Linked DNA regions of Sus scrofa. The protein of the gene in region 1 purifies or fractionates together with the protein of each later gene. This does not show direct contact. Links are inferred from orthologs where the notes say so. Each region holds a gene or a part of one and is shown in the gene's direction. Other genes may lie near its edges.

The links.
Region 2: the proteins of AP1S2 (region 1) and AP2B1 purify together in Homo sapiens (affinity purification with mass spectrometry; 3 studies listed by BioGRID and IntAct, counting the BioPlex papers as one, with this or other methods). This does not show direct contact. The link is inferred for Sus scrofa from reciprocal best matches to the Homo sapiens genes AP1S2 and AP2B1.
Region 3: the proteins of AP1S2 (region 1) and AP1M1 fractionate together in Homo sapiens (co-fractionation; 6 studies listed by BioGRID and IntAct, counting the BioPlex papers as one, with this or other methods). This does not show direct contact. The link is inferred for Sus scrofa from reciprocal best matches to the Homo sapiens genes AP1S2 and AP1M1.
Region 4: the proteins of AP1S2 (region 1) and AP1G2 purify together in Homo sapiens (affinity purification with mass spectrometry; 3 studies listed by BioGRID and IntAct, counting the BioPlex papers as one, with this or other methods). This does not show direct contact. The link is inferred for Sus scrofa from reciprocal best matches to the Homo sapiens genes AP1S2 and AP1G2.
Region 5: the proteins of AP1S2 (region 1) and AP1B1 purify together in Homo sapiens (affinity purification with mass spectrometry; 5 studies listed by BioGRID and IntAct, counting the BioPlex papers as one, with this or other methods). This does not show direct contact. The link is inferred for Sus scrofa from reciprocal best matches to the Homo sapiens genes AP1S2 and AP1B1.

What each region holds. Positions count from the first base shown.
Region 1 is NC_010461.5:12,386,596-12,392,814, reverse strand, and holds part of AP1S2 (AP-1 complex subunit sigma-2), read left to right. Parts: intron 1-4,611; coding exon 4,612-4,720; intron 4,721-5,341; coding exon 5,342-5,479; intron 5,480-6,219. UniProt on the Homo sapiens protein: Subunit of clathrin-associated adaptor protein complex 1 that plays a role in protein sorting in the late-Golgi/trans-Golgi network (TGN) and/or endosomes.
Region 2 is NC_010454.4:39,806,880-39,813,098, reverse strand, and holds part of AP2B1 (AP-2 complex subunit beta), read left to right. Parts: intron 1-4,334; coding exon 4,335-4,489; intron 4,490-6,219. UniProt on the Homo sapiens protein: Component of the adaptor protein complex 2 (AP-2). Adaptor protein complexes function in protein transport via transport vesicles in different membrane traffic pathways.
Region 3 is NC_010444.4:61,382,325-61,389,004, reverse strand, and holds the start of AP1M1 (AP-1 complex subunit mu-1), read left to right. Parts: upstream 1-2,876; 5' UTR 2,877-3,029; coding exon 3,030-3,071; intron 3,072-3,186; exon of another isoform or gene 3,187-3,297; intron 3,298-6,680. UniProt on the Homo sapiens protein: Subunit of clathrin-associated adaptor protein complex 1 that plays a role in protein sorting in the trans-Golgi network (TGN) and endosomes.
Region 4 is NC_010449.5:75,541,537-75,547,685, forward strand, and holds part of AP1G2 (AP-1 complex subunit gamma-like 2), read left to right. Parts: intron 1-1,806; exon of another isoform or gene 1,807-2,038; coding exon 2,039-2,137; intron 2,138-2,307; coding exon 2,308-2,363; exon of another isoform or gene 2,364-2,376; intron 2,377-2,493; coding exon 2,494-2,607; intron 2,608-2,746; coding exon 2,747-2,887; intron 2,888-2,971; coding exon 2,972-3,026; intron 3,027-3,104; coding exon 3,105-3,227; intron 3,228-5,144; coding exon 5,145-5,234; intron 5,235-5,321; coding exon 5,322-5,449; intron 5,450-5,691; coding exon 5,692-5,796; intron 5,797-6,086; coding exon 6,087-6,149.
Region 5 is NC_010456.5:46,481,302-46,487,520, reverse strand, and holds part of AP1B1 (AP-1 complex subunit beta-1), read left to right. Parts: intron 1-191; coding exon 192-287; intron 288-1,593; coding exon 1,594-1,709; intron 1,710-1,999; coding exon 2,000-2,165; intron 2,166-4,019; coding exon 4,020-4,118; intron 4,119-4,567; coding exon 4,568-4,827; intron 4,828-5,699; coding exon 5,700-5,901; intron 5,902-6,219. UniProt on the Homo sapiens protein: Subunit of clathrin-associated adaptor protein complex 1 that plays a role in protein sorting in the late-Golgi/trans-Golgi network (TGN) and/or endosomes.

The sequences.
Region 1 (6,219 bases):
GAGAGAGAGAGAGGCATGAGAGACTTAAGCTTATTTCTAGACAGGGGAAGGAGTCCCCCATGTGGAGGAGAAAAATACCAGCAAGAGAATCAGTCCCACGAATCAAGATTCCTGCAGCTGAGGGAAATGGCCTGTTAAACAGAAGGAAAGAAAGCATTAATTAGTGTTCTGTGCACAGAGTTCGTTCAGCCCAACCATGTCGGACCACCACTCTTTTAAAGGCTATGAGCAGTCATCTAACCTGACTCTGATACTTACATCAAGCTCCTATAAATAAAGGTACACTTAAAACAGCTTTGCTGAAATAAAATCCACGTACAAGAGTTGGAATTTATAATCAGTTCTCCTGTGCATCTCCCCATTTCATACCGAGAAAGGTCATCTATGGTACTTGAGGACATATATTTTGTAGATATGAACAAGTGGGTTTTTTCCCCTAGTCCAGCTGGAAGAGAAGAGCTTTTAAGCATAAGAATTACCGCTAGCCCCTGAGAAATTCTGAACTAGCACTTTTGCTATTCATATCAGCAAGTGATCTTTATGTCTGCCTCCTTCAGGTTGCCACATCCACATTCTTTCTCCCTGAACCTTTCTCATTAGAGTTGCCTGTCTTGGGGAGGGAGAGGTGAGAGGGAGTAAGGCTAATATAGCTGAAAAAGTAGACTGAAAATCTAGGGACTTGAATTCTATTTCTTTGTGCCATTAGTTAGTGTAGTGACTTTGAACAAGTCAGTTTGCTTTTGTTTCTTCATCTCTAAAATAAATTATCTTGAAGAGCCCATGAAGAAAGAACACTGCTTTTTTGATTCCTGTTTTGTGCAGCATGTTATGAATTAAAGTCTTAAAATTAATTTAAAAATACACATCTACAAATTACTAGCTTAAGAACTTGTCCAAGAGTACTGCATTGATTCTCTTTACTAACAAAGGAATTTATAATGACACACCAGGAGAATACTGAGAACCATTTGGTTACATTCACCCACAGTCAGCTGATATTTAGCAAACTGGAGAAGTCATGTGTTTTGAATGTAAGAATAGGCACTTTCAGATGTTCTCTGAGTGCCAGTAATTAGAGTAAGCCTTAATCTACTCTGCTAAAAACAACTAAACATACCTTTCTTACTAGTCTATTAATAATTTTACTTCAGATTTAGACTTACAAATATGCACTTAGAGAACAACATGAGCTCATTATTGAATTTTTAAAAACCACTTGGTTCTAAAAATAGTATACTTCACCTTCTGGTAATCTTTTACTAAATCAGTATAACAATTTTTATTTCTCTCCCTCTTCAGAGCATGTGAAATATTGCTTTGAATGTGTTTTAATTTTTGCCAGGTGCAGGATTACTTTATTTAATATAGTTCTGGGCTATATAGTTTTTAATATAAAACTTGGGCTCTAGAGTCAAATCACTGTTCCTGGGAAGGTTATTCAATTAATCCTGAGTCTCCAGCAAATGCAGATAATAACAATATCTTTCTGGAAGGGAGGGTTTTGTGAGGATTAAAAGGGTAAATTATGCTAAGGCCTTAGCTAACATTTATTGCTATATTCAGAGTGAGGACTCCAATGAATGTTACCTGTTACTATACCTCTGTTTTCTTTCTTAGGCTTTCTGGAAAGAGAAGCCTTCTTATAATCTTGATAACTGGATATTCACCTATAATGAAGAGTTCATTTAATTTGATGGTTCTCTTTGCATTCTGAGTGAATGCAAACATTTAGATAGTGTTGCAGGGTTTTTAAAATATCATGTCAGTGCTTAGACATAATCAGTCCTGGTGATATTTAAATTAATATGTTCATTAATTAATAAACATTAATTCTGAATGTTTCATACAGTCTAGGACCTTTGACTAGTGTTTAAGTGCTGTTTATTTGGAAGTAAAGAGGCAATGCTGTGGATAAAGAGCAAAGATGGTGAAAGCATTAGATTGCCTAAAAGCATGGAAGAAATTGAAATTAAAAGTAAAAGGAATTTTACCCAACATTGACTATTAACAAATTTCTTTTTTCAGTTGTTTATTTTTGTGTTTTTAGGGCCGCACCTGCGGCATATGGAGGTTCCCAGACTAGGGGTTGAATCAGAGTTGTAGCTGCTGGTCTACACCGCAGCCACAGCAACTCGAGATCCGAGCCACGTCTGTTACCTATACCACAGGTCATGGCAGCACCGGATCCTTAACCCACTGAGCAAGACCAAGAATCGAACCCATTTCCTCCTGGATACTAGTCAGGTTTGTTACTGCTGAGCCACTACAGGAACTGCTAGTAAATTCTAATGAAATTATTTAATACGCTGTTCATGTTAGATTGTCCTCTCTGGTTTTTATCTTTCTCTCTCTCTTTTTTTTTTTTTTTTTTTTTGCAACCTGCCAGATCTTGAACTCACTGTGCCACAAGGGGACTTCCTTATCTGCCTCTTTTGGTGTGGGGGTGCACATCTTTTTTATTAAAGTATGGTTGAATGGTTGATTTACAGTTTTGTTCCAATTTCTGCTATACAGCAAAGTGACCCAGTCATACATACATACATTCCTTTTCTTATATTATCTTCCATCATGTTCTATCCCAAGAAATTGGATATAGTTCCCTGTGCTGTACAGTAGGACCTCACTGCTTATCCATTGTAAAGGTAGTAGTTTGTATCTAACAAGCCCAAACTCCCAGTCCATCCCACTCCCTCCCCCCTCCTACTTGGCAGCAGAAATGTCCCATTGCCTTTTAAAGAGATAAAACAGGATAGCGCTAAGAAGGAGAGGAAGCACTTTGTTAATAAAGTTGGAGGTGGTGCCCTGTTACATCCTTTATGGTGATAAATGACCATGTTTGAATGCCTTCTCTCTAAGACTGCAGGAAACCCACCATTTAAAATAACTTAGTGGGGAGTTCCCGTCGTGGCGCAGTGGTTAACGAATCCGATTAGGAACCATGAGGTTGCGGGTTCAATCCCTGCCCTTGCTCAGTGGGTTAACGATCCGGTGTTGCCGTGAGCTGTGGTGTAGGTCACAGATGTGGCTCGGATCCCGCGTTGCTGTGGCTCTGGCGTAGGCTGGTGGCTTCAGCTCCGATTAGACCCCTAGCCTGGGAACCTCCCATATGCCGCAGGAGCAGCCCAAGAAATGGCAAAAAGACAAAAAAATAAAAAAATAAAATAAAATAGTGAACGTAGCAGTTGGACAGAATGGACATGGCAAAAAGTCTGTGTATGACAAGGGATTCAGTACAGTAGAGTGAAAAAAGGCCTGGAGTTAGGTCTGAAGATCAGATTTCTTGTCTCAGTACAACCACTTAACAGGCCCTGTACTCTGTGACGTCTTTTTTTTTCCTTCCGTAATCAAGGATGATGGTGCTTCCTGTTGGAAAGATCCAATAAGATGGAATGTTTTTGATAATATTGAAATTAATAGAGTATTAGGAAAATCCAAGTAATTCTCATACTGAAGAGCAGGAATTCATTGAATTTCAAAACTGAGACTGTGTGTGTTTGTGTATTATTTTACATTAATGCTATGAGTAGTAATTGCCCATCGTGTTTTCTAAAACTCTCTTAAATGCTCCTCAGTGTGAAAATTACAGTGGCAGCTGAGACTTTAGAATGTCTTAGGTCTTTATTTTGTTTCTTTTCAGAAGCCTTAAATACATTTAAACCATTTGAAATACTCTGAATCCTCCTCAGAGGACTTGGTTAGGTCATAGTTCCTTATGCCTTAAAGTTGTGTGTTAGTAAGTTTTGGCTTCCTTAGGCCAAGTATAACCTTCTCCCATGCTCTAGAATCCTAATTTGGAGAATTGGGTTTTCAACCATATTACTTCTTTAAGGGTAAATAACCTAAACTTTAATAAAGTGGAATGTGGAACATTTGAGGGTGTGTCTCAATTTCCCCTGTTGTCTTTCTCTAATTTCTGTGATTACTTAGAACTGTTGTTTTTTTCTTGAGGTTTATTTCACAATCCTATAAACCTCCTTTGAAAAATAATTTTATGCTGTTAGAAGTTAAGAGAGTAGTTACCCTTAGGGGTGGGAGGTTGTGACCTGGAGAGGCTGCATGAGAAGCTTCGGGGGTTCAGTAATAATTGTTTCTTCATCCAGATGCTGGTATACAGGTAGGTTCACTTTGAAAACTCATCAAACTGTACATTTATGACTTGTGGTCTTCTCTGTCTGTATATTACACTTCCATAAAATGTTCCAGAATATTGACTTCACATTGGCAATATCTTCAATAAGTCCTTCAGTTGAAGAGTTTATCTTCTTCCTTGTTTACTTATAGTTTGAATTAGTCACCTGGTATATTTTGTTTTAAGTAAACTTCAGAACAACCTGGGTCAGCTTTTTTAGAATATTCACAGAAAGGAGCCTGAATGGGAGAAGAGCAAAAATAAGTTGATTTCCTAGATAGTGAGATTTTTTTTTTTTTCTTTTTTGCTTGCCTGTACTTTTCAAAATTTCTCTTTTGTGCATTTATTACTTTTATAGTCTAGGAGAGAAACAATTTGTTGTATAAGAGGAAATAACTTGTATAAGCTTGGGGTCTTTCACAATAGGATATGAAAATATATTTTATTAAAGATGATTATATGGTAAATTTTTTTTGTTACAGATATGCCAGTCTGTATTTTTGCTGTGCTATTGAGGATCAGGACAATGAACTAATTACCCTGGAAATAATTCATCGTTATGTGGAATTACTTGACAAGTATTTTGGCAGTGTGAGTAGTATTTTGTTTTAGGAAATTGAACGCCATGGTATATTTTTTTTAACCTTTTCTGTCACAAGTTTATTATTTGATTGTCTTTGGGATTCTATTTGAAACTAAGTGCAGGAAAGGGAAGGAATAACTCTATTTCTTGTCAGTGTGCATAGTCAGTTAATTGCCAGAATTGCTTGACCCCACAGACCTATTCACTTAATTATGCTAGTGAGAATGAGGTTTAAAATAGTGAAATAGAAAGGAGTCCAACTATAAAGACTAATATACTGGAAGTGCTTAGTATAGAATTTAGATTTGGTTAGCAGTTATAATCATATTAGCCAGAAATACATATTTCAAAAGATTAGTTTGAGTAGAAAATTATTAAGTTGAGCTTGCTAGGAGCTTTCAGAGTGTGGTCTTTCTTAGCTTGTAGGCATTGTATTTTTCAAGTCCTTGAGATTTGAAAATTAAGCTGACTAAATCAGTGATGCTTAGCAGGATTGCAATTTTTAGAAAGAATTAAGATTTCTTCATTTTGGTCAGATTTTATTGACTACTTGATAGATAAGTATCTATTGCTTTCTTCAGTTTATGTGTGTATATATATATATATTTTTTTTTTTTTTTGCTTTTCAGGTGTGTGAACTTGATATCATCTTTAATTTTGAGAAGGCTTATTTTATTTTGGATGAGTTTCTTTTGGGCGGAGAAGTTCAGGAAACATCCAAGAAAAATGTTCTTAAAGCAATTGAGCAGGCCGATCTACTGCAGGAGGTAAGCTACTCACGGTTCTCTTGACTAAACACTGGCATGTTTTGCTCTTCCTAGGGAAGTCTCAGTCATCTTCCCTCATTTTTACAATTTCCAAAATTACCCTGAAGCATGCTTGGCATGTACTGTCCGTGGTCAGTTTATTGATTGGAATATGTGTCAGTCACATCAACTCAGTTATCTATGGATGGATGGTCTACCCTAATAGTGGCCCATTTTTGAACCCCAGAACACTAGAGTCTAAACCTTTAGAGCACAGATTAAAATGGGAAAGGTAACAGTAATTTGAGAACTCTCTATCCATTGTTCTGAATTATTTAAGATAACCCCTTTTCTCATTATTAGTATAGATAATCAGGAGTTGACTGTGAGATTATGACATTTTCATTCCAAGTTGGTTCATATTTTCACCTCATGTCCATTAAGTGCAAATGTAGCCAAGCAAATGATAGTGTTGTAATTACACTTTTTGTAGAATCCTCTAGTTTTGTGTTAGCAAAACTAAAAAGTACTTCTACTTCTCTATACTTCTCTTAAATAACAAACCATATTCTGCCAACCATTGATTAAACCCCCTTCCTTTTCTAATTGGCACAGCTGTCTTGGGTTAATTGTGTATTTGATGCTTCTGTATCTTCCATTTCTGAAGTTAAAAGTTTCATGGATTAGGTGGCCTTTTCCTAAAAACTTAATGATACCTTAATTCAGGTACCAAGTTGAATTATGCTTTAGTAATAATTGTG
Region 2 (6,219 bases), on another chromosome or scaffold:
GAGCTTTTACCTTTCTTCCCCCTTATTTTTAGGGCTGCACTTGTGACATATGGAAGTTCGCAGGCAAGGGGTCGAATCAGAGCTGTAGCTGCCAGCCTGGGCCGCAGCTGCAACAACACCAAATCCAAGCCTCCTCGTCTGCAACTTACACCACAGCTCTTGGCAACGCCAGATCCTTAACTCACTGAGCGAGGCCAAGGATCGAACTCACATCCTCGTGGATACTAGTTGGGGTTTGTTACCACTGAGCCACAACGGGAACTCCATACTTTTGCTCTTCTGTTTCTTCTAGAGGTGAAAGAAGAAAAGAAACCCTCTTCCTAACCTTAATAATTAATCAGATCTTAGTAGGTGTGTGATAGGATGTTTATGGTGCCACCAGTTGTGTAAGTACTAGAAAATATTAAATCAGAAAGGCACCAATGTATGGATTTCCTGGCTTCCTAGCACTCTTCATCTCTTCTGCTCAGGTGGTCTGTATGAATCTGTTTTACAGCTTATGTTACAGCTGCATTTGGGGTTAGCACATATCTGGGACCACGGTCTTAAGTGTACAAGATGTAGTTGCATCTCTAGCCATAACCAGAAAGTAATCTTCCTGGCAGGCAGTCCACAAACCTTTTTTTTTTTTTTAAATCAAGTGTTTATTATACTGTGAAAAGCTCAGAGAAATACTGTATGTATAGTCACTAGTTAAGCAGTCTAGTAAGGGACAAATGTTTCTTCTGGTGCAGGGACTAGGTGAGGGTAAGTTCTGGGGTTTTTTTGGTCATGGTTCTCCCCATTCTTTGGAACATTTCATAAATGCAAATGCTTTGCCAGCCAGCATTTAAATATAGTTTGGCTGTTCAAGTGGTAAAAAGTGTTCTTTTCAGCGGGCATCATGGTATTGAACTTGCTAATGAGTACCAATGCTCCCCCTGCCCACTCTGAGGACCTTCACCCTCCTGGCTGCTGGAAGAAGTGTGACCACAGCTAAAGTTGGAAGGTGAAGGAAGGAAGACCAGATCACACCTTCTAAGATTTTAGGCCTCAGACCCAAAGCCAAATTTGTGGTAGGAGACACATGAACCAAAAGAAATCACATCTTGAAGCCAGCGTAACTATGTTTGACCATCTTTTAAAACTATCCTTTAGGGGAGATTGCAGTATCTTAGCATTACATTCTCGTTCTCGGAGTCTCACAACTGTAAGATCCCATCGTTTCCCAAGGAGTTCAGATCCTTTAAAAAACAACAACAGCAAGAAAACAACTGTGATACCTTATCAGGAAGTACATCCCATCTAGCTGGGAAGCCACCTTACATCTGGCTCCCAGTGTCATTCTTCATAGGTTCATTTAGTAGAGTCTGATTATCCTGCCATTGACATACACTCTAGCTCCCAGCTAATATCTAAGGTTTATAAAAATTGACTCACACACGAGTTCCCATCATGGCTCAGCGGAAAAGAATCCGACTAGTATCCATGAGGATGCAGGTTCGATCCCTGACCTTGCTCGGTAGGTTAAGGATCTGGCCTTGCTGTGAGCTGTGGTGTAGGTCTCAGATTCTGCTGGGATCACGTGTTGCTGTGGCTGTGGTGTAGGCTGGCGGCTACAGTTCCAATTCGACCCCTAGCCTGGGAACTTCCATGTGCCACAAGTGTGGCCCTAAAAAGCAAAAAATAATAATAATAAAAATAATTGACTCACACATACTCATGTTATAGAACTCTCCCTCCATTCAGCCTTCTCTTAGAAATCACAGTACAGCCCCTTCAGCAGGAGCAGAGCCAGGTTCCTAACCAGAATGCTTCCAAGCACACTAAAGTTACATCCATTCATTCAACGTGCTTATGCTACCTGGCTGTTTGCTGCATTTTCTATTTCTGGAAGGGGTGAGTGCGTATGTGTGTTTGTGTGCTTCCATTTGTTAGCCTGTCATCTCTTACTGAGGTGGTAAAATCACGAGATGTCTAGGCTTTGAGGCCTTGCCATATGTATTGCCTAGAACATGCACCTATGCAACAAGGTGGACTTTACCAAAAGCTCCTACTATGTGTATTTTCTGTTTCCTTGGGAATGGGCAAGAGCCTTGAAAGTTGGGAATGGTTTTTACAACTTAAAGCAGTCCCTCTTGTGTTAAAGACAGTCCTGTCAGAAGGCATTAGCCAAACTCCAGCTGGTGATGTTGCCTAGCAACCCAGTCTAAGCTGCGAGAGCCCTTCATTGTGGGAACCAAGGTGACAACCAGAACTGCCTGACCCCCTAGAATGTAATTAAAAAGCATATTCAGGCCACGTCCTCCAGCAGTCTTGCATGTAACTACCCTGAGATATACTTTTTGGCTCCTCAAAGAGAGCCAGTCCTTGAGTTATAACTACTCTGCTTGGTGTTTGTGAAAACCTTAGACATAAAAGGAGGGAAATTAAGTCACAAGTGAGTGTGGTGCAGTTGTTTAATGAAGGAGCTTTAGTGCCTCCTCCCCTGAGCTCTCGGTGGTTTGAATATGGAAGGAAGGCATCAAGGCAAGAACCACCTCCAAAATTAGACAACATCTAAATAGATGGTTTTTAGATTCACACACAGAGAAAAAAAAAAATTATGGTTACCAAGGGGAGAGGGCAGGGGGAGAAGGGATAAATTAGGAGTATGGGATTAATATATATAAACTACCATTTATAAAGTAGATTAAAAGGATTTACTGTATAGTCCAGGGAATTGTATATTCAATATCTTAGAATAATGTATAATGGAAAAAGAACCTGGAAATGTGTATGTGTGTTTGTGCATATACATACACACACACACAATGATCTGAACCACTTTGCTCTACACCTGAAACTAACACAATATTGTAAATCAACTGTACTGCAATAAAATTAAAATAAGTAAATAGATGTGTGTGTGTGTGTGTGTGTTTTAATACCTGTGGCATTGTGTACATTCTAGCATCTCTAAAACCTGAGTCAGGTACCCATTCTGTCCCAGATACTGTGGGAAGCACAGTAATGAAAAACTCTAGGATCCCGGCGCTCAGAGAGCTTACTCTCTAGGAGTGCAAAAAAGACCGTCTAACACAGCATCCTTTCCCTAGAGAACACAATAAAATATGACAGACTTTTATGTGGAAAGAATTTAGTTCCTTAGTAATTTGAATTCTCACCAGAAGTGAACATAATATACTATCGACAAAAAAGTATTGTTTATCACTTCTATTTTTAAAGGTTCTCTTTCTCTGATGCTGCAGCACCTCATTTTAGCATGAGAGAATAAGGAAAGAGAAATGACCTTTAATACTAGAATTTCACACGTCTCTTTGATGCTGTAATTACAGCAAAGACCCCGAACACCAACCTGTTCTTACCCTGGGTTCATGACTATGAAGGTCTCCACTCTGACTGGCAGCAGCAGTGGGGCTTACCAGGGCCTTGGTGCAACCATCCTTGGGCAACTTCGGTCTTTTGTTGAGACAGTTTGTTTCATTATTAATTTGGGGCATCGTATGGGCCACAGGCTTAAGAAATCATTTGCCTACTTTTTTTTTTTTTTTTGTCTTTTTGCTATTTCTTTGGGCCGCTCCCGCGGCATATGGAGGTTCCCAGGCTAGGGGTCTAATCAGAGCTGTAGCCACCGGCCTACACCAGAGCCACAGCAATGCGCGATCCGAGCCCCATCTGCAACCTACACCACAGCTCACGGCAACACCGGATCGTTAACCCACTGAGCAAGGGCAGGGACCGAACCCGCAACCTCATGGTTCCTAGTCGGATTCGTTAACCACTGCGCCACGACGGGAACTCCTCATTTGCCTACTTTTAAAAAAAGAAAAAAACTTAAACCTCCAGATTAATAAATTTGACTTGCAGGATTTCTGCAACTTTCCACACTGCAATTTTCCTGACCCTGGCACTTGAGGCCAGAGTGGCTCACAGGTGAAGTAGTAGCTACTTGAGAGGGGTGTGGATTTGATTGTCAGTATCCCCATGGATCTGGGACCAGCTTCCAGAAATGATTCCTGACAAGGAAGTCACTGTGACACTCCCATGCCCCCATTTCTATCTTTGTTCTCTTTGGTGCATTTTTGCCTGTCTAGCACCTAAAGATGACCACCTCCTTAGACCCATCATCGTCTCCACAGGTAATTCTTACACTAATGCTTGGTTGCACTGTGTTGTTTTCTGTCCTGGAATGTGATAGGCAGGCACTTTGGGAGCCTCTTCCTCACTCTTTGCTCCTGTGGGGGAAGGGCTTTCTGAAAGGTACGCTTGTCAGGACTTGGGCACACATGGCTCATGGTACATTTGTTTGGTATTTTAACTAAAGGTGTTGAACTTTGAATCTGTGTTTCTAGACACTGTTTCCAGCAAGTTGCAAAACAACAATGTTTATACTATTGCCAAGAGGAATGTGGAAGGGCAAGACATGCTGTACCAATCCCTGAAGCTTACTAACGGCATTTGGATTTTGGCCGAACTACGTATCCAGCCAGGAAATCCCAATTACACGGTGAGGCCTTTCTCAGAATGGGTGAGATAGGTTCAAGGAGGGAGGTAAGAGCCTTTCATTTTTCTTAGCATCCTGGAAAGACCTGGTGGAGGTGCTTGAGACCCCAAATATCCAAAACAATCAGTCAGTTAAGAAGTCCCCAGTTGCCTCCTTAGAAGACCCTCCTGCTTGCACTGCCTGCTCCATCCAATGGGCACCATACCTCTGGCAACAAGAGTGCCTCCGACTCTCCTGGTGTACACAGAGTTGCTCGCAAAACATGGCCACTTTCTTAGTACTGGTTAGTCTTATCCAGCACATCTGTGTATGTATGCTATAGCAAGCTGCTAGAGGATGGATTTCCTAGCTCATTTCAAGCTCGTTCCTGCTTTTGGACTTGAGGATATCGGAGTCCTAGACACACCAGCCTTCTTTAGCAGCACTGTATGTCCTAAATGTGTATTGAAAAGTTGAGGCAAGAGGGGAAACACTTGGCACAGTCTGTAAGGGGACTTCAGAAACCTTCCTTTAATACCACACTGGGGGAGTTCCTGTTGTGGCTCAGTGGTGACAAACCCTACTAGTATCCATGGGGATGTGGGTTCGATCCCTGGCCTCCCTCAGTGGGTTAAGGCTCCAGTGTTGCCGTGGCTGTGGTGTAGGCCAGTGGCTGCAGCTCCAATTCAAGCTAGTCTGGGAACTTCCATATGCTGCAGGTGCAGCCCTAAACAAAAAATAATAATGATAATGATTAGTGAGAGTTCCTGTCATGATTCAGCAGGTTAAGAACCCAACATTGTCTCTGTGAGGATGCGGGTTTGATCCCTGGTCTCACTCAGTGAGTTAAGGATCTGGCATAAGCCACAGCTGCAGCTCCAGTTCAGCCCTAGCCCAGGAACTTGCTTATGCCACAAGTGCGCCCCTAAAAAAGGAAAGAAGGAAAAAAAAGAATGTTTAGTGACGTGTGTTCAAAGTCACGTAAATTATGGTAAGTGACTTGTGCTTAGAATTCAGGTATCTCGGAGTTCCATCGTGGCTCATCGGTTAACGAACTGGGCTTGCATCCATAAGGACTCGGGTTCCATCCCTGGCCTTGCTCAGCAGGTTAAGGATCCAGTGTTGCCCTGAGCTGTGGTGTAGCTCACGGATGTGGCTCGGATCCTGCGTTGCTGTGGCATAGGCTGGCAGCTGTAGCTCCAGTTGGACCCCTAGCCTGGGAACCTCCATATGCTGCAGGTGTGGCCCTAAAAAAGACAAAAAAAAAAAAAAAAATGCAGATATTGCAGCACTTCCTACCTTCCTGTTCTTTGTAGTCATTATAAGGATGGTGAGAATTTTGAGTAGGACCTCTTAGTATCACATAGTTTGTTTAAAATGTTTTGAAGCTTTTTTATTTTGAACTTTTAAGACTCATAAAAAGTTTTTTATTTTTATTTTATTTATTTATTTTTTTGTCTTTTGTCTTTTTAGGGCTGTACCTGTGGCATATGGAAGTTCCCAGGCTAGGGGTCTACTCGGAGCTATAGCTGCTGGCCTACATCAGAGCCACAGCAACAACAAAAAGTTTTTTAAATGGTCCATAGAGTTCCCATGTATCTTTCACCCAGTTTTCCTCATGGGGAACATCTTACACTCATAGTACCTTTTCAGCCAGGAAATTGATGGCTGGTACAATACTATTAGCTATAGACCTTATTCATATGTTCACCAGTTCTTACATCATTACTCTTATCTTGCTGTTTCAGGAGTGT
Region 3 (6,680 bases), on another chromosome or scaffold:
GGGACCCAGACACAGCCTGCCTTCTCACCCTCAACCCTGGGCTCCAAGCAGCCCCCCTGTATTTATTCAGAGTTGGTACATAACATGTTTGGCATTCCTGGCCTAAGGACACCTCAGGGGTGATGGGAGCAAGGCAGAGCCCCAGCACAGACAGACATGGGGCAATTGAGAGGACCTAGTTTCCTGTGCTGGAGAGCCAGGATCTTTGAGAGCCTACATGTACCCATCAAAAGAGGATTAACCTGCAAATGTTCTCGGGGAGAAGTGTGTTGACATAGATGCTGAAAGCATTAACAAAGTCCCAGAGAAAAATACAGTGTTGGGTTTGGGACTGTCATATGTGAAATGCAGAATAAAGCAAAAAAACAGTTATTAAATAGATGTCTGAGTATCTTAATTACAAGCTGTTTGATTATCACTAGAAATGCTGCCTTTTGGACTATCACAAAGTATACATACTGCAAAGTGACTGTTCACCTTCAATTTGGAGAAGAGGTGACATGTGTTTCCAACTGCCTATTCACCCACCTCAAAATGGGGTGACTTAAAACAATAGGATTAGTCTCTCAGGATTCTTGGGTTGACCATGCTCAGCTGGATGGTTCTACCCCACGTAGTATAGTTCAGTTCATGTGTGAGCTATGCTGACTTGCCTGGGGCCAGAAGGTCCTCTAGAATCTCCCTTCACTGAAGTAACCTATTCCATTGGCTAACACAAGTCACATTGCCAAACCCACTCTGGGAGGGAACTGCACAAGAGCACGAACAGCAGGAGACGGTTTACTGAGGGCCATCACTGTTTCAGTCTACCACAATGGTCCTCAAAATATGTACGTTGGACTCTCCTGGGGTGCATTAATTACTGGGGCTGCCTGGGGTTGGGGTTCCATCACGGAGATTTTTCAGAGCTCCCCAAGTGACCCCACTGCACAGCAAAGTTTGAGAAGCACTGTCTACCACAGTAAATATGGTCTTTTCTGAGATGTTGCACAGGACAAATCTGGCTTATACATTAAATACAAAGGATGAAATTCAGATGTGATTCAAATTCCTCCACATGCACTGAAAAGGAAGTTACAAGTAATTTTTGTGTTGCGTGTTTATTGTGACAGTATTGGCATGTTGGAGTTTTTGTTTCCTCGAAAGACTTGTCCTCCCAGCTCCATCCTTGCCTTGATACTGCATTATACTGTATCTAAAATGCCCAGAGCAGGGACATAGTTTTTTGAGGGCATTAGTCCACTGTGGTCCCCTTTGCCTGGCAAAGCAATAGAGCTATTCTTTTTCTTTTTTCTTTTTTTTTTTGGGGGGGGGGGGAAGAATTTTTATTTACTTTTTGGCCATGCCCTTGGCATGTGGAAGTTCCCAGGCCAGGGATCAAACCCAAGCCACAGCAGTGACAATGCCAGATCCTTAACATGTTGTGCCACAAGGGAACTCCCAAAAGCTATTCTTTTCTATTTCACCCAAAACTCTGTCTCTGAGATTCACTTCTGCCTTGGTGCACAGAGGCCAAATATCAGCGTCGCTTACTTTTAAGTCAGTTAAAGAGAACTCATTTACAAGTTAATTTTTACATAAAGCAGAACCAGAGATGTCAGTGTTTCCACTTGAGTGGAAAAGCCCTTCTCCTTCCCCCCTCTTCCTTTTTTTTCCTTCAGTCTCAGGAGCTAAAATAAAGATGGTCTAGATAAGGTAAGTGCTCCTGAGAGCCATTGTAGAACATTTACATCTCACAGAGAGAAAAAAATAATAAAATGCCCAGAGCAAGTCTGAAAGGAAATCCTCCATAATGAGAGGGGTTACCGCTCCCATGTGGATTTCTTTATACTTTTTGGCATTTCCTGATTTCTTCAGTGCAATGTACAGTTTTGTAATTTAAGAAAAAAAAAGACACTTTTTTCCTAAAAACATAATTTGGGCAGAGTGAGGCTAGGTATAATCAGATTGCTTAAGAGACGGTGTCAAAAAGCTTCTCAGCTGCTTTATGCCCAGGATTCACTGGTAATCTTTAAAGGTTCTAGTTTTCTTCTCTGGATTTTCTTGCACTTACATCTCTACCTTAAGTAGAAGGTATATAACCACAAAGTTGCAAAAACTAACTCTCAAAACCCAAAATGGAGGCAGTAAGGAAGATAAAAGTAAGAGGCAGGCAGCCGGGGTAAATGGTTCTGATAGTGCAGGGCCTGGGGCCCAGGGCATTGTGATGGTTCACTGGGACAGAATGCAGCATTTCTCCAAAGGCCGAGTATTCATAAAAGCAAACAAGGTATAATTCAATTAGATGAATCAGGAGTCACAATTTGCATTACTCACAGTGACCACTACCTACAGAAATAAATCACCTTTTTGCCTAGGTTCAGTGAGGCGTGGTTTTCAGATCATTTCAGGCAATAAACTGCACGCTTGTTTACCAAATGTTAGCACTGACAGGTGACAGGAACTTACTGTTGATGAGGCTCGATTGCCATTCAGAGAGTTTGAGTTCTTTCCAAGTAACCACCACCTTATCCCTCCTTATAAAGTGTATCACAATTGGTGTCTATGTATTTGTTCCCCAGCCTTCCCCACCAAACTATGAGTTCCACATGGCTGGGCCCTCGGTGGGTTCCACCACCAGGATCTCTCACCTAGTTTGGCCCACCAAGTGGGATTTTCCAGCGACATGAGTTTTCCCAGCTGCCATTCGCCGTCCAACCAGGCAGCTAGAGAGTTGCTCTTCCGCCGTCCGCCCGGCTTGGCCCCGCCCCTCCCCGCCCCTCCCCGCCCCTCCCCTAAGAGCTTACTTCCGGGATACTTGAGGGAGGAGCGGAAAATAAGGCCTTATCGGGAATATTGCGCCTGCGCACATGGCGCCTTGCGCCTGCGCTTTGGCAGCGCGTCCACGGCCAGACCTAACGGTCCGCGCGCTACTCCCCGGGCCGGAAGTGGAGAGGAACTGTCTCGGGTGCGCCCGGCCTGGCTCACCGCCTGGCAGTCACCGCTGTCGCCGCCGCCTTCGGCCAGTGCCGAGGGTTTTTGCAGCCGCCATGTCCGCCAGTGCCGTCTACGTGCTGGACCTGAAGGGCAAGGTACTGATGGCTCCCCACCCTCGGTGTTGCCAGGCAACTGGCCGGGGCCTCGCCCCTGGGGACCCACCCTGTTGCTAGGTAGCCGGCCAATGGGAGCCTCCCTGGTCTTTGAAGCTTTGGCCTCACCTGAGGGCTCTACCCTGTTGGTAGGTAACCGAGAAGGTGTCTTCTGTCTGTGAGTCCTGCCTTGTTGCTAGGTAACGCGGTGGGCTGCGGCCGTTGCAAGGTAAACGCGTGCACGACCCCCATCCTCACCTCTGTGGGCAATGAGCTCCGGCCTCCGTGGGGGTCCCGGGGAACCCGAGGCCGCTAGGAGCGCGGGCCGCTGCCGGCATGTAAGCCAGGCCTGACGCCGCGGGGCTGGGCGACCCTTGACCGGAGGTGGTGAGGCGTGGCGGGGACACTGTGCCCTCAGGCCAGTCCCGCTCTCCGAGAGCTCGGAAGCTTCTGTTTATCCAGCGACTTTTCTGTAGCAGTCCTTGTAGGGGTTTCTTAACATTCATTGTAACATTGAGTTATAAGGGTTAGGTGAGGTGGGTGGTGGGAATGCTGTTTTACAGAGGGAGAAACTGAGGCACAGAGAGGAAATGCAACCTGCCTAAGGTCACACTGGTCAGTCACAGAGAAGTGGCAGGTCTGGGAGTGGAACCCAGAATCATTTGTTCATTCAGCTGGTATTTGGGGAATATCTACGAAGTGCTGGGCAGGGTGCTAACCTTTGGGTTGCCTTTGGAGAGCAAAATCAGAGTCTGTCCCTGTCCTTCTGGAGCTCACAATCTGATGGGCGAGAGGGACACTGATCTCAAAAAGCACAAATAAATATAAGTTGTGGAGCAGTGAGGATGTAATAGGAAAGTCCACCTCCGCTGGGGGTCAGGGAGGGCTTCCCAGGGGGAGTGACAAACCCAGCTGAGACATGATGGAGGAATTGGACATAACTAGAACCTCGGTGCTTTTCCCAGGGGTTTCAGGGAAAAGTTCTTAAAGGAGGGATTGCAAAGCTTTCAGAGGAGGCCTACTGTCTTCCCCCCAAGTCCATTCCTTCTAGAAGGCAACTGGCCTCTTTCATTGGGGAATAATAAGAAAAGACAGGACTAACAACATTAAAACAGGCCCCTCATGGATGAGTTAGTGGGTGCCAGGCCTAGGCGGAGGGAACAGGAGTAGCGCAGAAGCAGTAGGGAGTGAAGAGGTAAAGTGACTGTCCCTTGCCACCCCAGTCCCCACCCCCAGCACTTTCCCAGAGCCCCTTGAGTGGGTTGCCTGCCTTGGAGGCCACCCAAAGTCAACAGGCCCTGGGCCAGGCTTCCTTCCCCAGCCTTCTTAGAGGGCACAGGGCACACCAGGGACTGGGAGGGTGCAGTGTTCCCTGTGTCTTGGTAGCACATGTTCTTGTTTCTGCCATGGTCACCGTGTCCGCAGCAGTGCCGCAGACTGCCTGCTCACATCACTTGTTTCTTCAGCAAACATTTCATGAGCACCTCACATGCACCAAGTCCAGGGTTGACCTGAGGAGTTAGGGCTGAGCTCAAAACCTGTCTCTGCTGCTCAGCTACGTGACCTCGGGCAAGTGTGTGAACTCCCTGAGCTCAAGACAAGCTCAGCACCACCCATGGTCCACAGTCCATGTTAGTCCCCATGGACCTCGAGCTCTGGCAGGGGAGGTGCATGAAAGCTGACAGACCCAAACAGAGACATGGATCTAAATAGGCAGATGTACTTAGCAACAAGGGCAAGGACAAAGCCCCAGGTAATGAAGTTGCCCAACCTTAGTTTTGGCTGGCAGCAGAAGTGGTTACGAAAGGCTTCCTGGAGGAAGGAGAGGCCAGAGCTGGGAAGGTGACCAGGTGGTAGTCAGGTGGACAAGGAGGTGTCACAGTGGGCCCAAGGGGTGAGTGGCAGCCTATTGGGCCTGGCAAGCCAGAAGTCCTAGTTGGTGCTGGAGCCTCGGAGATGGCATCAAGAAGGCCATGGGTATTGAGGATGTCCAAACAGGAGGGCAGGACAGAAGGGACTATTTTATCTCAAGAAGGAAAAGCCACCATGAGGAGACCATAGCCTGGGAGAAGCATAATCAGACATGCCTTTCAGGAAGCTCCAGAGGCAGCCTCCTGTCCTGAGTAACCATCATGCTATTTATTATCCTCCGCCCCCCACCCCCTCACCCTGCCCCACGGACCTCATGTTTTGAATGTTGGCCTTCTGCGCAGACTCCATTAAATCAAAAATAAGATAATGGCACATCAATACATTCACAACCACTCGTCTACCTGACAGCCAGAGCCTCTGATCACCAAGGAAACCAGCGTGACCACTTTCAGCAGATAGAAAACCCTCCACGGACATTTCTCTGCCCCTTATCTTTCTCACTTCTCTGCAACTTCCATCACCACCTGCCACGCTCCTCCTCAGAAGGCTTCCATTGGCTCTCTGTTTTCCCCTCTTTCTCTGAATGTGTGCTGCACCCCCCCCCCACCACCACCAGAGGCCAGCTCCTCAGGTTCAGGCCTAGCGTGCCTCCCATGCTGTCACTCTCCTTGGGGGCAGGCTTTGATTTATGTCACTGTGCCAATAACTCTCAAATTTGTACACCAGTCCAGAGCACTGAACTGGAGACCCACCAGTCTCCAGGACACCTTGAAGGTCTCACAGGCACTGCAAACTCAGCATTTCCCAAAACGAGCTCATCTTCACACCCCACCCTGCTCTCTCTGAGTGGGTGACGTTACCATCCATGCAGCTGCCCAGGTGGGAGACCTGGGCATTATCCTGGCCTCCTTTTTGTCACCACCACATTCACTTGCACAGACATTTACTGAGAAGCTCCTAAGGGCCAGGCTCTGTTGTGGGTGCTGAGACACAGCCGTAAAGTGGTCTGTTCTCAAAGAGTGTTAGACTTTAGTAGAAGCAACAGATGATAAATAAGGATATGAATATATAATGCAATGGTGATGTGGGCAGTGATGATAAAGTGGGGTTGGGAGTAGAAAGGGATAGGATATGATCTCAGCCAGGGTACGCAGGGAAGACTTCTCAGAGGAGGTGCCCTCTGAGCTGAGGCTTAAGAACTGAGAAGGTCTAGGGCAGAGCATTCTGGACAGAGGGAACTGCAAGTGCAGAAGCCCTGAAGCAGGAGCAGATGCACATTGCTCAGAGAGAGCAAGAGTGCTGGCCAGGGATGCTGGAAAGGGGTGAGCCCAGGGAACATGGATGGAGAGGCGTTGGAGGGGCTGTGAAGAGCCAGACAGCCATAGAGATGGACTTGTGGCTTGTTCTGTTTGAAGGGAGGCTGGGGTAGATGGCACTTTCAACAGGGGAGAGATCTGATCTGACCTTCGACTTCTAAGAAGGCCCCCTCACTCATTGTGAGGAAGGAATTGTGGAGTCAGGCTCAGCAGCAGGGGGTAAGGGTTGTCACCTCAGTGTTGCTTGCCATCTTCCAATCTGTCCTGGCTCCTGCCTTTGTCCTCTTATCCGGGGCCTGCAGCCCCAGCTCCAAGGCTACTCTCACTCCACCTAACCACACTCCTAGGTTTCCCATGGGCTGCACTCCCCGCCCCAAGGCTTCAACCACACTGGTCCCTCTGCCTCTATCGCACCTGTCCCCTG
Region 4 (6,149 bases), on another chromosome or scaffold:
GTCCCTTTCTGTCTCTCTTCTCCTTCTGGCGCCCCTATAATATGGATGTTGGCGTGTTTAACATTGTCCCAGAGTTCTCTGAGACTTTCTTCATTTCTAGACTGTCCTCCACCTCACTTATTTGTTCTTCTGCCTCCTATATTCTGCTGTTGGTTGCTTCTAATGAATTTTTTATTTCAATTATTGAATTTTGCATCTCTGCTTAAGTTTTAAATCTTGTATATCTTTGCTCAGTGTTTGCTGTAATTTATCAGTCTTTGCCTCCAGTTTATTTCCAATGTCTTGAATCATCTTCACTTCATCAGTCTAAAGTCTTTTTCCTGGAGGCAAATAATCTCCAGATCACTTAACGGTTTTTCTGGGTTTTGTTTTTTGTTTTTTGTTTTTTTTTTCTTGCTCCCTTATCTGAGTTATAGTTCTCTGCCTTTTCATTTTGTATTGGTTTTGGGTGTGGTCTCCTTTTTGCAGACAATAGAGTTGTAGCCTCTCTTGCTTCTGATGTCATTCTCCCCCCCCTCCCCCCCCCCCCCCCCCCCGCCCCCACAACCCTGCCTCCCAGTTAGTATGGGGGCTTGCTGTAGGCTTCCTGATGGGAGGAACTGATGCCTGCCAACTGGTAGGTGGAGCTTATTCTTATCCCTCTGGTGGGTGGGGTTAGAATCTCACCCTCTGGGTGAGATTAGAAATGGCATTTGCCTGGGGGAGGTCTTTAGGCAGCTTCTTACTGATAGGTGGGGCTGTGATCCCAACTGGATTATTGTTTGGCCTGGGGCTTCTCAGCTGATGTGGGACCATATTTTCCCAAAATGGCCACCTCTAGAGGAACACATGCTGATGAATATTCCAGAGAACCTTGCCTCCAATGTCCTTCCCCAACAACGAGCCACAGTCACCCCATTTTCCCAGGAGATCCTCCAAGAACTACAGTCAGGTCTGACCCAGATTCCTATGGAGTCCCTGCTTTGCCTGGGACCCAGTGTACATGAAAGCCTGTCTGCATCTTTCAAGAATGAGGTCTCTGTTTCCCCCAGTCCCGTAGAGCCCCTGCTCACAAGCTCCACTAGCCAGATGCTCCAGGGGCTCCTTTTCCCAATGCCAGATCCCCAGTCATGGGGACCTGACTTGATGCTCAGAATTCTCACTCCCAGGAATTCCTGTCATGGCACAGCAGAAATGAATCTTGACTAGGAACCATGAGGTTGCGGGTTCAATCCCTGGCCTCACTCAGTGGGTTAAGGATCTGGCATTTTTGTGAGCTGTGGTGTAGGTCGCAGATGTGGCTCAGATCTGATGGTGCTGTGGCTATGGCATAGTCCAGCAGCTGTAGCTCCAGTTGGACCCCTAGCCTGGGAACCTCCACATGCCATGGGTATGGCCCTAAAAAGGAAAACAAAACAAAACAAAACAAAAAACTCTCACTCCCGTAGGTGAGTCTCTGTGATCCAGTTACTTTCCAGTCTGTGAGCTGCCCACCTGGTGGATATGGGGTTGCTTATATTGAGTAATTACCCCTCTTATCATCTTGATGTGGCCTCCTCTTTGTCTTCTGGAGTAGGATATCTTTTTTGAAAGTTTGCCATCGTCCATTTGGTTGAAGGTTGTTCAGCAGTTGGTTGTAGTTTTGTTTTTATGAGAGAAGGTAAGCTCCAGTCCTTCTACTCCACCATCTTTTTGTTGTTGTCTTTTGTCTTTTTAGGGCTGCACCCATGGCAGATGGAGGTTCCCAGACTATGGGTCTATCAGAGCTATTGCTGCCGGCCTATGCCAGAGCCACAGCAACACCAGATCTGAGCCACGTCTGTGACCTACACCACACCTCACGGCAACGCCGGACCCTTAACCCACTGAGCGAGGCCAAGGATTGAACCTGCAACCCTAGTCGGATTCATTTCCTCTGCTGTGCTAAGATGGGAACTCTTTACTCCACCTCTTAATCCTGTCTTTTGGGGAACTTTGTTAGAGGATTAAGGGATGATATCCAGAGACCTGAGGAGAGGACAGACCCCTTAGAGCTGCCTCTTCGCTCCCATCCACACAGGTAGCCACAAACACGAACACCAGCCGAAATGCGGGCAGCGCAGTCCTCTTTGAGACGGTCCTCACCATCCTGGACATTCGCTCAGCAGCAGGCCTGCGGGTACCATCCCCCCACCTCTCCCCCTCGGCCCCTCTCCCCTCACCCCCACCAGGCTGACCGTCCTGTTCCCTAGTCTCTCCTCATCCCTGTCACCCTGTGCCATGCACTCCCTACTCCTGAGTGAGCAGGTTGCTCCTTCCCTGACTGTCCCCAACCTCTGCCTCCCATAGGTTCTAGCTGTCAACATTCTTGGCCGCTTCCTGCTCAACAGTGACAGGAACATTAGGTAACAGGCCCAGGTGGGCTGTGCCCTTGGCCCTCTGCCCTCCTTCCTCCAGATTCTTAGACCCAGGGCAGGATGGGATGGGGAGGGGCCTGATGGCCAGGGTGTGATAGGGCCTCGCCCGCTCTGACAGGTACGTAGCGCTGATGTCCCTGCTGCGGCTGGTGCAGTCTGACCACAGCGCTGTGCAGCGGCACCGGCCCACCGTGGTGGACTGTCTGCGGGACCCCGATGCTTCCCTCAGCCGGTGAGCAGGACAGAGGTCCCATTGCCCAAGATCCAGACCAGCTCAGAGCAGCTGGAGAAAGGGGACTGGGGAAGGGGGCCTGTGGCATGTCATGGGGTGACCTAGGCTGCCTTGTATAAACACACACTCCTCCTGCCAGGCGGGCCCTGGAACTGAGCCTGGCTCTGGTGAACAGCTCCAATGTGCGAGCCATGACCCAGGAGCTGCAGGGCTTTCTGGAGTCCTGCCCCCCTGATCTGCGGGCCACCTGTGCCTCAGGCATCCTGCTGGCGGCTGAGAGGTGAGCGGATGGGTGCCCAGGAGACAGAGAGGGTGGAATCCATGGTGGCTCAGCACCAGGACTGAAGAGCCACATGTCCCCTAGGTTTGCCCCATCCAAGCGGTGGCACATAGACACCATCCTGCATGTACTGACAACGGTGAGGCAGGGGCTGGGCTGAGCTGGGCGGGAGCAGGCGGGGGTTACCACGCTGACTCGGTCACGTTCACCCCTCCAGGCAGGCGCCTATGTGCGTGATGATGCGGTAGCCAACCTGACCCAGCTGATTGGGGGTGCCCAGGAGCTCCACGCCTACTCTGTGCGCCGCCTCTACAGCGCACTGGCCAAGGACATCTCTCAGGTACTGCTCCACCACTAGGCCCAGGGCTGCCCACCCCTCACCGCATCCCCCAGCCTTTCCTGGGCCACTTGCTTCCTACACCTGATTCCTAATTGTTTTTCCTTCAAGGTCACAGCTCTCTGCTTAGCAGAAGAGACACTCAAGGGCAGATCCCTGTTTTTAGTTAGAACACCTGGACTCCTGTCCTGGTTCTGATACTACTGTCTGTGCAACCACAGACGACTCACTTAACTTCATGCTAGGTGTCCTCAGCATCCTACTGAGCCTACCTGCCAGAGTGGTCTTGGTCAAGTGAGATAGATAAAAACACTTCCTACATGCATTAGGTTTTGTTATTACCTTGAATACTGAGTGAATTCACAGATGCCAGCCAGTGTCTATACTGTAGCCCCCTTTTCCAGATTACTTAAGTAGGGTAGGAAACCACCCATCTCTCCCTCAAGGGATAACTCCCTCACTTCCTCATCATCGCTGCACCCCTTGTGGTTAAGCCATGTAGTTTTTTGTTGTTGTTGTTAAGGTGGTACCTGTGGCCTATGGAAGTTCCCAGGCTAGGGGTTGAATTGGAGTTGAAGCTGCTGTCTATACCACAGCATGACAACACCATATCTGAGCCACATCTGTGACTTACACTGCAGCTTGTGGGAATACCAGATCCTTAACCCACTGAACAAGGCCAGGGACTGAACCTACATCCTTACAGACACTATGTCGAGTTCTTAACCTGCAGAGCCACAACAGGAATTCCCTATTCTAGGATATTTTTTAAAGTTGAAATAAGGCTGATTTATATTGTGTTAGTTTCAGGTGTCCATCAAAGTGATTTAGTTATATATCTTTTTTTCTTCAGATTCTTTACCATTATAGATTATTACAATATATTGAATGTGGGAGTTCCCATTGTGGCTCAGCAGTTTAAGAACTCCGCATAGTGTCCATGAACATGTGGGTTTGATCCCTGGCCTTGCTCAGTGGGTTGAAGATCCACCGTTGCCATAAGCTGCGGTGTAAGTTGCAGACATGGCTTGGATCTGGTGTTGCCCTGGCTGTGGTGTAGACCAGCAGCTGCAGCTCCAATTCGATCTCTAACCTGGGAACTTCCATATGCTGCAGGTGCAGCCCTAAAAAGGAAAAAAGATATTTCATACAGTTCCCTGAGCTTTACATATAGTAGGTCCTTGTTTCTCTTTTTTTTTTTTTTCCTTTTTGCTATTTCTTGGGCCGCTCCCACGGCACATGGAGGTTCCCAGGCTAAGGGTCCAATCAGAGCTGTAGCCACCGGCCTACACCAGGGCCACAGCAACGCGGGATCCGAGCCGCGTCTGCAACCTACACCACAGCTCACGGCAACACCAGATCGTTAACCCACTGAGCAAGGGCAGGGACCGAACCCGTAACCTCATGGTTCCCAGTCAGATTCGTTAACCACTGCACCACAACGGGAACTCCTGTTTCTCCCTTTTATATATAGTAGTGTGTCTGTTAATCCCCAAACTCCTAATTTATCCCACCCCCCTTCCTTTTCCCTTTGGTAACCATAAGTTTGTTTTCTGTGCCTGTGCATCTGTTTTTGTTTTGTGTATAGATTCATTTGTATTATTTTTTAGATTCCACATATAAGTGATATTATTTAATATTTGTCTTTGACTTCACTTAGTATGATAATCTCTAGGTCCATCCTGGGCCATGTAGTTCTGATACTTGGCCACCAGAGGGCAGAGGAAGCCCAGGAGCCAGGACAGAGGCGTCAAGAAATTAACAAAACCCGCTCTGTAACAGCTCCCTGTGCTGAAGGCCTTCCCTTTTCCCCTCTCCTCTAAACTCCACCATCTCTGCACTACCTAAAGGGATGTCACAGGGTCTGGAAGTGAGGAGGGGACCCAGACGCTGGCCCAGCACGTTTCTTACCCCATGCAGCAACCGCTGGTGCAGGTGGCAGCCTGGTGCATTGGGGAATACGGGGACCTCCTGCTGGAGGGGAGCTGTGAGGAAGCTGAGCCCCTGCAGGTGGGTCCTGCACTGGGGGTAAACTGGAGGGATGGGTCAGGGGAGGCAGGGCTGAACCCAGGGTCACTCCCTGTGTCCCTCCAAAAGGTGGAGGAAGAGGAGGTGTTGGCATTGCTGGAAAGGGTGCTGCAGTCTCACATGTCCCTGCCAGCTACCCGAGGATATGCCCTGACAGCCCTCATGAAGCTCAGCACCCGGCTCCGTGGGGACAACAAGTGAGACTGGGGCCCAGCCGCTCTCCTAGAGCCTTTCTCCACGGTGCCCCCACCCCCAGTTTCTGGTTTCTCTCCAGGCCCTCACCCCCCCCACTTCCCCGCAATCCTTAGGTATTTTCTTTTGAGCCAAGTAGTGTGGGTCTCTCCCTGCTCCATGGAGCCTCTTCCTTCCCTGCCGCATCCTGGAGGTGAGGGGCAGGGGCAGAGCGCCATTCCCACTTGCACACCGCCACGCGGCCCAGCCGCATCCGCCAGGTGGTGTCCATCTACGGGAGCTGCATGGACGTGGAGCTGCAGCAGCGTGCGGTGGAATACAACACTCTCTTCCGGAAGTACGACCACATGAGGTGCGCACCACCCAGCCGCAGTGCGGGACCCACCCCCCTTGGCCATTGTCCCTTTCTGGGCACAAAGGTCTCATCCAGTCAGAGCCTCCCACCCACAGTTCATCGAAGCCAAGCAGGCTTCCCACCCTCCTTGTTCAGACAGCAGCAGCATGCCTTCTTAGGAAATCAGAGGGGCACTTCTGACCCACCCTAAGCCCAGGACTCTCCACGTTCTTACCCTCCTCCCACACCTCCTGTGTGAAAAGCCCAGGGCCTGCCCAGAGGGTTATACCTCCCTTCCATCCTCCCAGGGCTGCCATCCTGGAAAAGATGCCTCTTATGGAGCGAGGTGGCCCTCAGGTCGATGAGAAAGC
Region 5 (6,219 bases), on another chromosome or scaffold:
CCAGTGAGTCCTTCCTGTTTTCCTCTTGGGGCGTCTGATAGCTTTCTCCCTCCCCTGGGAATTCTGCCTGGAACAGGAGGCATAGTCCTATCCTTCAGGGGTCAGTGCGTAGCCACAGCCCAGGGGTATTCCGAGGTTGCTGTCCAGACCCCTCCCCCTCAACTCCATCGTCTTCTTTGTTTGGGCCATAGGTGTTGGCAGAGCTGAAAGAGTATGCGACAGAGGTGGATGTGGACTTTGTACGGAAAGCTGTGCGAGCCATTGGCCGTTGCGCCATCAAGGTGGAGGTGAGGCTCTGAGACGGTCCTCAACTTGGGGGAGGAGGAAGGGAAGGGAAACTGAAACCAGGCAACCAGTCTGATTCAACCAGAATCTGCCAGCTCTTTGTGGTCCAGGAAGGCCTGGGGGTCACCCCCATCGCACCCGTGGTACAGAATTAGTTGGGCTGCTTCTCACCTGTAATCTCCCTTAGGCCTTTGAGTGGCCACAGAGAAAATTAACCTATCATACTCCTGGGTTCTCCTGCACATTAGTAAAACACTGGGGCAGCTCCAAGCTGGTGGTGGCCCTGATAGACTCAGCTTTCACTTTGTGAAGCTTTGAGACAGGGCTCTACTCTGACTCTTGAGCATTTCAGCAAGTGTCATGATTCAGCTGTCCTTGTGCCTTTTTGCCAAATTCCCAAGGGTCATTCAGGCCCCTGTGTCCTACTGTTTCATCTCTCTCATTCTCTGCCTGTGGAAATTCTCCTTGACCACTGATCTTACTCTCCTTATTTTTGTTTATTTATTTATTTGTTTGTTTGTTTGTTTGCCTTATCTAGGGCTGCTCCCATGGCATATGGAGGTTCCCAGGCTAAGGGTCGAATTGGAGCTGTAGCTGCCGGCCTACACCAGAGCCATAGCAACTCGGGATCCGAGCCGTGTCTGCGACCTACACCACAGCTCACAGCAACACCGGACCCTTAACCCACTGAGCAAGGCCAGGGATCGAACCCTCAACCTCATGGTTCCTAGTCGGATTCGTTAACCACTGCGCCACGACGGAAACTCCAGATCTTACTCTCCTTAAATGAGTTCACTGAGAGCTAGAGGATCTGGGACAGCTGGTCACTTCAGCCCCTTGAAACGTTTTCCCTTTGGCAATCTGAGAAATCTCTCCTCTAGAGCATGCATTAGCATAGTGTTTTGGAGCAGGGGGTGTGGGGAGGGCTGATCCAAGCAGAGACTTCCTAAGTGTTTTTGGTCACAGGAAACCCTTTTGTGGAACAAATAGAAGTGAGATGTGGTCAGACTGTAGTATTGTCACACTACCTCAGGGCTTAGCCTGGAAGAGCTCCAAAGGCCTTCCCTGCTCCCAGACACTCTCCTGGCCTTCTCCTCAGTCTAATTCTCTCTCCCTGTGTCCCTGCCATCCCAGAACCATCATTTTGTACTCAGTCTCCCACCTGTTACCTGCGGAGAGTGTTCTGTTTTCCTGCTGTGAAAAGGAAGGTGGGCAAAGTGTGACTGAGCCCTTGACCAAGGCATGCTGGTCAGAGGCTCTGTTGGAGATGGGTGCAGGCCTTACCCACACTCTCCTCTTCCCACATAGCAATCTGCTGAGCGCTGTGTGAGCACGCTGCTCGATCTCATCCAGACCAAGGTCAACTATGTGGTCCAGGAAGCCATCGTGGTCATCAAGGACATCTTCCGCAAGTACCCCAACAAGTACGTGGCTGCCTCTCCCTGTGAGGGTGCTGGGAACAGGGGTGGTGGGAGGAAAAGCCAGGAGGAGCCTCTCCCCTCTGCTGAGAACAGCGTTCTCAAAAGAAACCCTTTATCTTTTCTTACTTCTCCTGAGCTGCCAGATGAGAACTAAAATGTAACAGAGAAAACTCAAATCCTTTTACCACACTCTTGGGACCTCTGGGGTCTGTCTCTCTTGCCCCTTCCTGGGTCTCCCTTGGGCAGCCCAGGCTCTCTCAGTGCTTATGTGCCAGCCGCGCCCTGGTCTCTAGGTACGAGAGTGTGATCGCCACACTGTGCGAGAACTTGGACTCTCTTGACGAGCCCGAGGCCCGGGCGGCCATGATCTGGATTGTGGGCGAGTACGCCGAGCGGATAGACAACGCGGACGAGCTGCTGGAAAGCTTCTTGGAAGGCTTCCATGATGAGAGCACCCAGGTGAGAGGTCGAGTAGCCGACTTGGGGAAGTGCCCTCCTAACACTGCACTGACCATGTGGACAGGCAGTGAGGTGACGTGTGGGTGCCAAGTGTAGCCGTTTGCCTCCCGCACTGGAATACCTAAGGGGGACCTGTGAGGACAGTCTATGATGGTTTATGTTAAAGACACACAAAGTTTCTGGTTTGGTTTCAATTTTGGGAGTTCCCATCGTGGCTCAGTGGAAACGAATCTGACTAGAAACCATGAGGTTGCAGGTTCAATCCCTGTCCTCGCTCAGTGGGTTAAAGGATTCGACGTTGCCGTGAGCTGTGGTGTAGGTTGCAGATGCAGCTCGGATCTGGCGTTGCTGTGGGTGTGGCATAGGCCAGCAGCTATAGCTCTGATGCAACCTTAGCCTAGGCACCTCCATATGCTGAGTCAGAATTCAAATGAGATGTGATTGAACTCTGGCTCCCAGTAGGCAGCCATTAGCTGCTGTCTTCTAGGCTCACAAGAGGAGTTCCCCCTGTGGTGCAGAGGAATTGGTGGTGTATTGGGAGCTCTGGAACATAGGTTCAATCCCTGGCCTGGCACAGTGGGTTAAGGATCTGGCATTGCCACAGCTGCAGCTTAAGTTGCAGCAGCGACTCAGATCTGATCCCTGGCCCGAGAGCTCTATATGCTGCAGGGCAGCCAAAAAAAAGAGGAAAAACTCACAAGAATCCCCCCTGAAGCAGAGATTCCTCTCCTTCACCACCTGAGAATAGATGGTTTTCGCTAGGCTACCTGGCCAGGGGTGCTTGAACCAGGTCTAGAAGCCAGTCACTGAGCCACCTCCCATCCTGGAAGCAGCCACCTGCTCCTCTGCCCTTTGCCCATGTGTCACCAAATTACAAGGACTCTAGATACTTAGTCTGAGAAACCAACTGCATCTGTTCAATCCCACATACCACTGGCAGCCTGCCCTGCCTAGCAAGGCAGTTAAGCCATTTGTTTTTGTTGTAAGTGCCCTCCTGCACCACAGGCCTAGGAGGTGCTGCTAGCCCCTTTCCCACCTTTCTGCTGCAGGCTGTCCCTGGCACGGTTGAGGCTCAGGAGGTTCAGGCTGTCCTCTTGTCCCAGGGCTGACAAAAGTGAGATGGGGCTAAGGGCTCTGTGCAGAGAATTGACCTTTCAGAGGTCAGCAGGTTTTTAAGTGCCTGTTATGCACCAGGCACTAGAATGAACAGTAACCAGGGATGAGCAGTGGCAGATGCCATTCCTGCCTTCAAGGGTTCTCTCTACAGAACAGCCCAGGGGCTGGAAAGTCTTTGTAATACTGCGGGGTAGCACCAGTGTGGGGGCCTGGGAGGCATATTCAGGCAAAGGCAGCATTGGGTGACATGGGCTGATGGAGGGCTGGGCAGGAATGGTTCCCGCTCCCTGAGAGCGTTCCTCAGTGACACACTGGCTCTGTGGGCCCTGCTGATCCAGTCCGCTGGGCTTCTCTGGCACCCTCTCCCTTTGGTGACAGATGATCTTTAATAAGCATACCAGGCACACATGTTGCCTCTCTGAGCTCCTAAAGGCACTGTGGGCCTGGAGCCTGGGAGGGTTTCTGGGACCCTAGAGCTGGGTGGCAGCCCCCCTCCTGCCTGAGGCTGCCAGATAGTGCCATGGCCAGCTCCTTCCTGAGCCATGATGCCAAGGTCAAGGCTACTCTGCACTACTAGCACCCCCTGCTGGCCTTGGCCTGTTTGCATAGCCAACCCCAAACCCAGGAAAGCCATTCTCAGCCTTTGAATACCTTTTCCCCTCTTTGGGGTCCTTATCTGGTTTCCTGCTATCCCCAGTCACACTGCTTCTTCCTCGACTCCTCTCTGTCATCCTGCAGGTCCAGCTGCAGCTGCTGACAGCCATCGTGAAACTCTTTCTAAAGAAGCCGACAGAGACCCAGGAGCTAGTGCAGCAGGTCCTCAGCTTGGCCACTCAGGTGGGTGCACAGCCCTTGCTCCACAGAGGGAGCTTTAGTCCAAGAAGCCAGACCTGGGTGGTCTTGCCCCTAAAAGACCTGGGGTTTGGCTCCAGAGCAATCCAGGATCCCTGCTCAGGGAGCTCAGTCACAGACAAATCAAGGTGTGGCGGGAGCACATGGGCCAGACCATAACAGGAGGCGGAAGTCCATAAGCCAGACGGGCAGGCCCTGGAGAGGGTGGGGAGTGGAAACGGGTGGGGTGGCCTACTCGCAGCCAGGCCAGCGTGGAAACCAGTGGGCTGGGCCAGGTCTGTTCAGGTGGTTTAGGGACAGGCCCCAGGGGCTCTCAGGTCTGTCATGAGCAGCCCTGTGCTCATCACACTGTGTCATGGGACTATGGGAGAGGCTCCCCCACCTTCCCCTCACCTGGTTGCTGTGAGATTCATGGGCTCCTCATCATCTCCCAGGACTCGGACAACCCGGACCTGCGCGACCGAGGCTACATCTACTGGCGCCTCCTCTCCACGGACCCTGTAGCTGCCAAGGAGGTGGTGCTGGCTGAGAAGCCACTCATCTCAGAAGAGACAGACCTCATTGAACCTACGCTGCTGGACGAGCTTATCTGCTACATCGGCACACTGGCCTCTGTCTACCACAAGCCACCCAGCGCCTTTGTGGAGGGGGGCCGGGGCGTCGTGCACAAGAGCCTGCCACCCCGCACCGCCTCGTGAGTGAAGTGGGCCAGTCGCCAGCCTCAACCTTCCCACCTGCCTCCTCAGTTCTAGCACAGGCACTCAGGCCTGAGTCTGAGGAAAGTTAGTTCTAGTGACGTTCTATCGAATGCTTACTGTACACCAGGTGTTGACTGGGTGACAGCAGCTCTGAGAGATGTCCCCACTTCACAGACAGGGACAACAGGCATAGAGAGCTTGAGTGCCTGGTGCAGCATCCCAGGCAGCATAGCTGGGCTCAGACCCGATTCAGTCTGACTCCAGAGCCCCATTCTTCTTGTCTTCCTCCTCTGCCGTTTCCAGTGGCTTATTGGTCTGGTTGTCCAGTTCTCTGGGGACCAGCATCTAGTCTTCTGTTTATTTATTTATTTATCTATCTATCTATTTATTTATTTTGTCTTTTGTCATTTTAGGGCCGCACCCACAGCATATGGAAGTTCCCAGGCTAGGGGTCCAATCGGAGCTGTAGCTGCTGGCCTAAACCACAGCCATAGCAACGCAGGATCCGAACCGCATCTGTGACCTCCACCACAGCTCATGGCAACACTGAATCCTTAGCCCACTGAGTGAGGCCAGGGGTTGAACCCACAACCTCATGGTTCCTAGTCGGATTCATTTCCACCGCGCCATGACGGGAACTCCTGGTCTTCTGTTTAGAGTGGGCTGAGTGGTGGGAATGCAGATGGCCCTCCCTTCATTCAGCTTGTGAAGTTGGATCTCTTGAGAGCCAAAAAGATGGATGAGACGTGGGAAGAGGGAGGAAGAAGGCCATATAGACTGGGGGTGGATCTTAGAGAGTGGGGACTCTGGCCTCCCTGAGATAGCCTGACCCCCCACTCTGCTGAACCTCTCCTCCATGTCCTGGCAGGAGTGAGAGCACGGAGAGTCCTGAGACGGCCCCTGCTGGGGCACCCCCTGGAGAGCAGCTGGATGTCATCCCCACCCAGGGTGACTTGCTGGGCGACCTCCTCAACCTGGACCTCGGCCCTCCGGTGAGTGGCCCCCCACTGGCCACCTCCTCGGTGCAAATGGGAGCTGTGGACCTTCTTGGCGGCGGCCTCGACAGCCTGGTACGTCCTGGGGCCCCTCTGTGTGATGTTAATAATTGATCTCAGAGGAGCGATCATTGAACACCCTCTGCTAGATTCCAATCAAGGGCTTCAGGTACAGTTTGCCAGCAACGGTGGTCACATAGCTCCCTACAAATGCGTGAGAAACTGAGGCTTAAAGAGGTCAGGTGACCTTCCTTTCAAGAGTACACAGCTGCTAAGTGCCAGGCACAGAATTTAGTCCCTTGCTGGGCTGCTGAATCCCAAGAGACCCGCAGCTGTGTAGGGCCTGTCCTAGCCCCTTCTCCAGAGTGGTCGCACAGGCACCTTGGCCTTGTA